Linked DNA regions of Bombyx mori. Each later gene encodes a partner of the first gene's protein in a complex. Links are inferred from orthologs where the notes say so. Each region holds a gene or a part of one and is shown in the gene's direction. Other genes may lie near its edges.

Region 1 (3,830 bases):
CTATAGTTTCATTGACACCGCCGTAGATGAGGTAAAGTCAAATGCTTATAAAGCACGTTGAACTTATATCAACTCAATTGCTGACAATTCAATCATTTTCGATTTGTTTCAAACAGTATTTGTAAATTTTATTAAACCACACAAAGCTGATAGATCCGCACAGCAAATGTAAATGCTTCGGTAAAATTTTGACATATTTATATGAAGCAATGTAAAACAGCTTTCTACTGTTTTTACTGATGCTATTAAGCTTGTAACGAGTATCAAAGTATACGAACAGCTACAAAATACACTTTTCAATTTGCATGAAGCTTAATAAGAACTTGCCGATTATTTTCGTGTAAAAGCTTTTTTAGAGTGCCATTGAAATCAAATAAAATATACAATTCGCTATTTATCTTCTAACTGATTTAATTACTTTGAGTATGCTGTACGGTAAAGTAAAAAGAAAATTTGTAAAGAAAATATTTAAAATATATATAAAATAATTCGATTTCGCGGTCTAACCCCAACCATACGCTTTCAGCCTATGGGTATCCTCTCCATTCTTGAGGAAGAGTCTATGTTCCCGAAAGCCACCGACCAGACCTTCGTTGAGAAGCTGAACAACAACCACTTGGGCAAATCTGCTCCTTACTTGAAGCCCAAACCCCCCAAGCCAGGTTGCCAAGCTGCTCACTTCGCCATTGGTCACTACGCCGGTAACGTAAGTATCTGTTCAATTTATAAACCTCAAATTGAAGATGAAGTAGTCCAATGCTCTAGTATGCCCAAACGAAATTTAACAAATCACGTCCTTTCAGAACTCTTTTGTACGAATGAATCATTGTCAAAAACAAAAACCCATCGTCACTGGTTCTTAAAGTTCACACAAGAACGCTACACAGCCACAAAAAATTTAAGCGCCCGTCAAAGAAAATGTTGTAACTTCAACTTTCCTTGCGCCACAGGTCGGCTACAACATCACCGGTTGGCTCGAGAAGAACAAGGACCCGCTTAACGACACCGTCGTCGACCAGTTCAAGAAGGGCCAGAACAAACTTCTGGTCGAGATCTTCGCTGATCATCCTGGCCAGTCTGGTGATGCTTCCGGCGGTGCCGGTGGCAAGGGTACGTTTCACATCATAAAATACTTATTACTTATTTAATGATAATATTCTATAGTATCCCGATGATAATGATAAAAGTATTTCTTTAGAGGAGTTTTTTTAAACTGAGTCTGTAGCCACGGCTTCTGTGGTTACGCCATTACCGATCTTAGATAGTCATCAATTACGGACGGATGGGTAATTCTTCTGCATTCGATAGTTTAAGCGAAAGTGAATGTAAATTTCTTTGCTTTAAATTTCAATCACTTTAATTTTTTTCTTGCTGTAATAAATTTGAGAAGAACTGACTGAACGCCAAACTGCGCTGCATATGAATACGGAGGACGCGGCACAGGGACGACAACCCCAATTAAATCACATTAAAATCATACACGCAATATATCTACATCGTTTCATTCGAGTGTTACACTTTACAAGTAACACTGTTTCACGCACATAATACATATAAAAGATCCTTAGATAACAGCAAATATCATTTTATCAACGAAGCTTGTATTGGAAATTACTTCACCGATCAACTTCCATACGCTTTCATAGAATAGACTTCATCGTTCATTATATTAAAATACAAAAAAATCACATACTGACACTGTTTTAAAATGAAATAGGCGCTGGTGGCAAACGCGCTAAGGGTTCTGCCTTCCAGACTGTATCATCACTCTACAGGGTAAACTCGCATACAAAATTGTCCGAGATTTGCTTCTGTGGCTCCTTCGTGCTGTCCTTTTCTGTCAACACGCTTTAGACCGTCGCCTATAGAATGAGAGGTTGCGTCTTGCATAGGGATGATCTTGCACGCTTTCAAATTAATAATCATGTTTCGTTAATGTACATTTGCAGCTCATGTCGTCGCGGTTATTTCGTCAACTTATCCTACTGTCTTCATATACCTGTGATCGTCCAAAACTAATTTGCTTGTTTTAATGTATATTCATAGGCGGTCGTGGAAAGAAGGGTGGTGGTTTCGCTACCGTTTCCTCCGCTTACAGGGTATTTAATAGTTCAACTACTAGATTTTATTGTTTTTTTATTATTATTATCGTAATGATGTAGTTAACTACCTAAATGTAGCCTACATCAAGTGTTTTTAGTAGTTCGAAATTATCCATGAAACTTGGAGGTAATTTTGAAATCATGTCACCCATGAAGATACGTCAATTTTGAATTGCACTTTCATTCATTTTAGATGCATTTTATTGTAATTTAACGAAGAAATGTAAGAGGAACCATTACATTTATTAACATCAGCAGAATACGAAACCTTGCTAAGTTTTCAACTGAGTTTTCTTTTGCTTTTTTCGTTCTAACCTTTTGGTTTTTTTATTTTTATGTTTGTTTCACCAAAAATTTATACTTCACTTGTTTTTATAATATATGTTGTGTGGCTTATATTTGTTTTTATAGAAAACTTAATTACGACCAAGTTTTCTTTACATGCATTTCATGTGGTTTTGCTTTATACGTTTTAAATTATAATAAATATGAAATTATATTAATGTTACCAATATATACAGGAACAACTTAACAACTTGATGACGACGCTGAGATCCACCCAACCTCACTTCGTGCGTTGTATCATTCCCAATGAATTGAAACAGGCTGGTGAGTTTTCGTTTTAAACTTATACAAAAAAATAATTTGAATATATTAAAATTTGATGGAAAAGAATTTTTAATTTGTCGATCGATTTAAAAAAGCCATTAAAATTGGGTATTCATTTTCCAAATATACACGACCTCAACGAAACATAATCTTTGACATCGATTTCCGTGTTACATAGGTCTCATCGACTCTCACCTTGTGATGCATCAGCTCACCTGTAACGGTGTGCTTGAAGGCATCCGTATTTGCCGTAAAGGTTTCCCCAACAGAATGGTATACCCTGACTTCAAGCTCCGGTAAGAATCGCTTGTATGAAACAATCTATTTATAGTATCACGAAGTAGACATTAGAATAACATTTACGAAAATCACGCTCTTGAGTCATCAAATAAAAGTTATTTCACACGTCAACACGGTTTAAATATATTCTGAGGATTCATACTTTCGACTCGCTGAAGTCTAAACAACATTCCTAGGCCGCTGGAGATTTTATTTCTGTATGGCCGACCACTGACTAATGCTGACGTCATTTTGGAGATTCTAGCAACGAATTCGCAAATAGTTTCGATGACTCTCACCTCTCAGTCGGGAATCGTCCTGATGCACAACGTCTGATACGCTCTGTCTATTTTAATCATTTATAAAACTAATATTTAATAAACAGCTACATGATTCTTGCACCCGTCGTCATGACAGCCGAAAAAGATCCCAAAGAGGCAGCTAGGAAGTGTCTGGAGGAAGTCGGGCTCGACCCCGAAAGCTATCGTATTGGTCATACAAAGGCAAGGAAACATCGATACCATCCTAGCGTGGTGACCGCATGACCTAGTCGAAAATGGACAGACTCAACATAGAGATCTAGAAATTCACGACTCATGTAGTTTGTGTACCCACACCGTTTTTGTAGTCAATACATAGATTTTTGCACCTCTAGTTTAAAACACCTGTTTAGAAATACCTATGTGTCACGTTAATAAACAGGTCCTTTATTTTTTTTTTGTTCTAATATTTAGTTTTTGATACGTGTATCCAAAATCATGACACGCGTTTTTGAAACGTATCGAACCTGGGAGAATACCTTGTGAATTCCTGAGCCATCATCACTAGTAGTTCCTTTTT
Region 2 (4,403 bases), on another chromosome or scaffold:
GAAGACCGGCTACTCCGAAACTCCGAAATTCGAAACTCAGCGGTCTGTTTCTATTGGTTAGTTCGCTCGTCGAACTCTTCGTCGGGTGCTAAGTGTTTACTAAAGACCATAAACATTGTAAATGCCGCCATCCACCTTGCGACATGAGTTCTAAACCTCAGTTTTGCAGTACAACGGCTGCCCCACCCATCAAATTCAATCCTTCACTTCAATTCACCTTTCAATTGCTTCACGGCAGAAATCATCAAGGGCATCAAGTCCGTGGTGGCAGCAGTGCGAGCCCCTGAATGATGACGCTCAGCACGCCCTCAAGGCGTAGGTTGCTTGTGCTGGGGAAATACCTCTCCTTGCGAGCTGTGGTCGCCTGCACGTTAGAGGCCCGGAGTTTGTAGGAGGACGTGGTGGTGCTCTGCAACCCGGTCAGTGTGCTCCGTGAGGTAAAAGAAACGTGAAAGGGAACTCCTCATTCAGCTCCCGTAGAGACTGACGAGTGCCTGGTGCGGGGACGTCCGGGGCTAAGCTGTTGACTCAGTGGTGAGACGGCGCAAGGTGTGATCTGTGCGCCAGCCACGGTGTATCTCCGGATGTCTTTTGGGATTTCTCTTGAGAAGAAATCCTGTCATCAAGACGGATAACGGCGATATTTATTTCTCGACGCGCACTATGCGGTATTATTTTAGCCGATAAGTTTTATGGAGCTTAGTCGATACCATGGGGTGGGTTCTCGCGCGCCTTTCTCAAGGCATAGTCTTCTACGAGGAATTCGAACAAGAGAAGAACATCGATCTTCCTCTTCTCCCTCTTCAGCCCTGAGGTGCCAAAGTCCGATATTTCTCGATTTGTTACCCCCTCGACAGGGTATCCGTAGACGCATTCCGTAGCGTTAAAAAAAGTGGTGGTACCGACCCGTGCGGGCTCAAGACCTTCTACCACCAGTAATGTTGCAAGTTATAGTTTTCATGAGTTTGATTTTTATTGCACGATGCTCTTTCATCATGGAAGTCTTTGATAAACATTTGCTAAGTACATATTTCATTACATATGTTGATACCTGCCTCTGGGATTTGAACACCACGGCCGCTCGATACAAATATACCGATCGTCTTATCCTTTAAGGCACGACGACTTTTCTTACACTAACATCTAGAAATAAGACCATGACAACATTACTTAGTCCATATAGCAGATTAGTAAAAAAATACCCATCGACGTACCCAAATATGAACACAAGCTGAACCATACTTCTTTTTATTTTGGCTTCGAAATGGACTACAAAAACATAGCTCATATAACTCAAGATGCATAATATAAGATTGTGGCTGATTTTGCTTTTGAATAATATTTTTTTCATTAGATAACGCTGGACTACTTCTTAACACTGTTATGTATGCGGAAATAAATTTGAACGAAGAGATATTTTTAGCAAATGAATGACTGTAATGTATTGATCAAAATGTACTGTTATGCAAATGCCTTTTGAGATTCGTATACAGTGACATCTGCGCAGTATTCACTTTCAAAACGATAAAGCTATGTCTCAATTTTGTTGTTGCTATTAATCAATTTTTCAAGCATCAGCTGGCACTAAAGACGACATTTTGATAATAGGGAGATCACACCTCTCAGATCTGATCGAAATAGTTTAGCGTATATGTAGATTTACGATTTGGATTGGTGTTGCCCGATACCCCGCAACAGCGCAGGTGGAAAATCGCTTATCTCGCTCCGACTCGCATCAAGAACGTATACTCGAAGACACCATGGAAACGGATCTACTTCGCCGAAAATAGAACGGTGGCTGATTCCTGGGCTAAATCTCAAATATCCAGACGAGTGCGCCATCTAAGCGAGTTAAAACCGTCCCGCGAAAAGTTACGGAGCCCCACTTCTTGTCTGAACGTCTGCCAGTGAAGACCGGGAGGGAACCGACAAACACCACACAAAATGGTGAGTTACTGATGACAGTGGAAACGTGATAATGTGTACAGTGTGAACTATGGACTGTAAAACGAGATCAGTGACGGATAACGCGGATCAAATCCTCGTGATCCGAATGTTTGCGGGCGACTCGGAAGAATTCACAAATTATGCAGTACAAAAGTGTTGTGCTTCTGCTACGATCAAGGATGACTTCTTTCATTTTAATCATCGAACACGAACACATGCAAATATGTAAAAGAACACACAGATTAATATTCACCACACAACTATTTTATTAAGAAATCTGTTAACATGGAATAACCAAACATTTTTGGTCATTTTCAGAGCGACCTCAGCAAGAACGACGTTGAAAGTGAGTATTGTTTGATTGTTTGAATTTATTATAATTTTTTTTTTTCTGGAAGTTAATCAACTATCAATAACGTACACTAATGACGTTATTATTTCAAAATCATTGTGAATATAAAAGTTTTTGGAATCTCTACATGTTGCACATTTAAATATGTATTATTGTGAAATGAAATGGTATCATTGATTATCAAATGGTATCAAATTAAAGAATTATTGGCGGTGGTAGACGGGTCAGCAAAGTTGGCGGCAACTGTTCATATTCGACGCGCGCGGAACGTTCCAAATTTAAACCGAAGCGTCACGTGATCCGGCACCGCCGTCCGCCCAAACAGAGAAACCGTGCTCGGATTTCACTGCAAACAAAAATTTGGGCGTTCTTGGCGTAGTAACTAAAACAATTAATAAATCTATCGATATATTTCTATACATCTTATATCGTTGATTATAATTTGGTAAATTTAGGTTTCCTACAATATTTATCATTATCAAGGTCGTCATTTTGGATCAGCTGCGTTTTGGTTTGCAAATAGATACATACACATTACAAATACGTACGTACGGTACCAATATCGGGCTATATTTTATTAAATCTCAAATAACACTTTTTAAACTGATAAATTGCATAACACTAATATCTAATTGCTTTAATTTTCATTCGATGGGTTCGTTAACGTTACCAATCAATTTGGTAAAAAATCAAATAAGACTCATCTCTCCTTTCTAATTTGCCCTTATTTCTTTATGATAAGATTTGATCAAGTAAGATTGTCGGTTTCTATTGGCTTTTGTAAGATTCCAATATATTTTTTTTTAAACGCCCTTCTATCCATTTATGTGCCGTCGATAGATTTTCGAGCAGTTTAACTTAGATAACTGAGAAATGAAACGAAAATAAATGATCTACAAATCAGTCGGATTTGGCACCCAAATTAAATTGGGGCAGAGTCGTGTTCTAATATTAGACTGTGACTCATTGTACAGTGAATATTGAAACACAGCGTGGAAAAGTATTATTCTGGGCAAGAATGTCCGCCCACACGTTCCCACACGGCGCCGAAGCACCTGGCAATCGTTTTCAGGAACATGTTCGAGAATTCGTTGGAACGTTTTCATAAATACTATAATTCAGAATACGCTGTGAATGAATTATTCTGATTCGATTTCGTATAAACAATAGAGAGAGGTTTTTGAGGATTATTTATACAAGATAGAAGTGTATTTATAAAATCAAATTATAATTTGAACATCCATGGAGCTTACACTTAATTCTCAAACAATAGATAAGGTAATTACAAAACTAAAAGTTTATACCTATATGATTTGATCGATTATAGTGTTTGAGAAAATTTACTTTATCGGTTGCTATTCAATACGGGTTTCAACATAAAACGCCTGATGCTAAGCATAGCTTAGCGATCGAATTTGAAACTGTATTTGTTCTTTGGAGCTTTTGAAAACTTTGGAACTTTGAAAATTTTATTCCTTGCTCTATGGAAAAGAATAAATCTTATTGAATGTCCCGGATACCAATCATCGTTACATTAAAGCACTTAATCTATAAAATGACATTTTACCGAAATGGATTAAAACTTATCTTAATTTGATCTGTTTATTCAGGGGCGTCTTTCGCCTTCTCAATCTACGACTTTGAAGGCAAAGGTAAGATCGATGCCTTCAACCTTGGCGATCTCCTGAGAGCGCTCAACTCAAACCCCACACTGGCAACCATCGAGAAACTCGGTGGTACAAAGAAGAAGGGCGAGAAGCTGCTCACAGTATGTTCTAATTTTTTTTTTTATTAGTTACCTAGCTCCGCTTGTCACTGTTGCTATCATTTGACACATTTTTCCCAAAGAGGTTTTGGGTTGGAAAATGAAAGCATGAGCGGTGTGTATCTATTTATATTAGCTTAATTAGACTATGAGTAACGTCTTATCTAATGCCACGCGGTTTGTTGACCGTAACCGATTACCACAACAAGCCATGACCTTACAAATACATACAACATAATTCCAAGTTACATGATCATTAATATATAATTTTTTTTTTCTGAAAATCTCACAAACGTGAAGCGTGATACGAGTGCTCAAGACTAGCTTGTTAAAAACCTT

What was found.
Region 2: the proteins of myosin heavy chain, muscle (region 1) and myosin light chain 1 are in contact, whole or in part, in a crystal structure (PDB 5W1A), measured with the Drosophila melanogaster proteins. The link is inferred for Bombyx mori from reciprocal best matches to the Drosophila melanogaster genes Mhc and Mlc1. Residues at the interface, in NP_723999.1 of Drosophila melanogaster: Arg25, Ile26, Ser29, Asp718, Lys720, Met721, Arg722, Gln724, Ile725, Pro728, Arg776, Leu780, Gly781, Ile783, Met784, Ser785, Trp786, Met787, Gln788, Ala789, Trp790, Ala791, Arg792, Gly793, Tyr794, Leu795, Ser796, Arg797, Lys798, Phe800; in NP_001287569.1 of Drosophila melanogaster: Phe14, Val15, Val18, Met19, Asp33, Arg36, Ala37, Asn39, Leu40, Asn41, Pro42, Thr43, Leu44, Glu78, Gln79, Gly80, Cys81, Asp84, Phe85, Glu87, Cys88, Leu89, Lys90, Leu91, Tyr92, Asp93, Lys94, Glu96, Ala103, Glu104.

Annotation. Positions count from the first base shown.
Region 1 is NC_085114.1:1,599,265-1,603,094, reverse strand, and holds part of myosin heavy chain, muscle, read left to right. Parts: intron 1-526; coding exon 527-706; intron 707-950; coding exon 951-1,110; intron 1,111-1,717; coding exon 1,718-1,776; intron 1,777-2,046; coding exon of another isoform or gene 2,047-2,099; intron 2,100-2,623; coding exon 2,624-2,711; intron 2,712-2,889; coding exon 2,890-3,007; intron 3,008-3,830. UniProt on the Drosophila melanogaster protein: Muscle contraction.
Region 2 is NC_085112.1:7,820,612-7,825,014, forward strand, and holds the start of myosin light chain 1, read left to right. Parts: upstream 1-1,465; 5' UTR 1,466-1,944; coding exon 1,945-1,947; intron 1,948-2,265; coding exon 2,266-2,293; intron 2,294-3,909; coding exon 3,910-4,067; intron 4,068-4,403.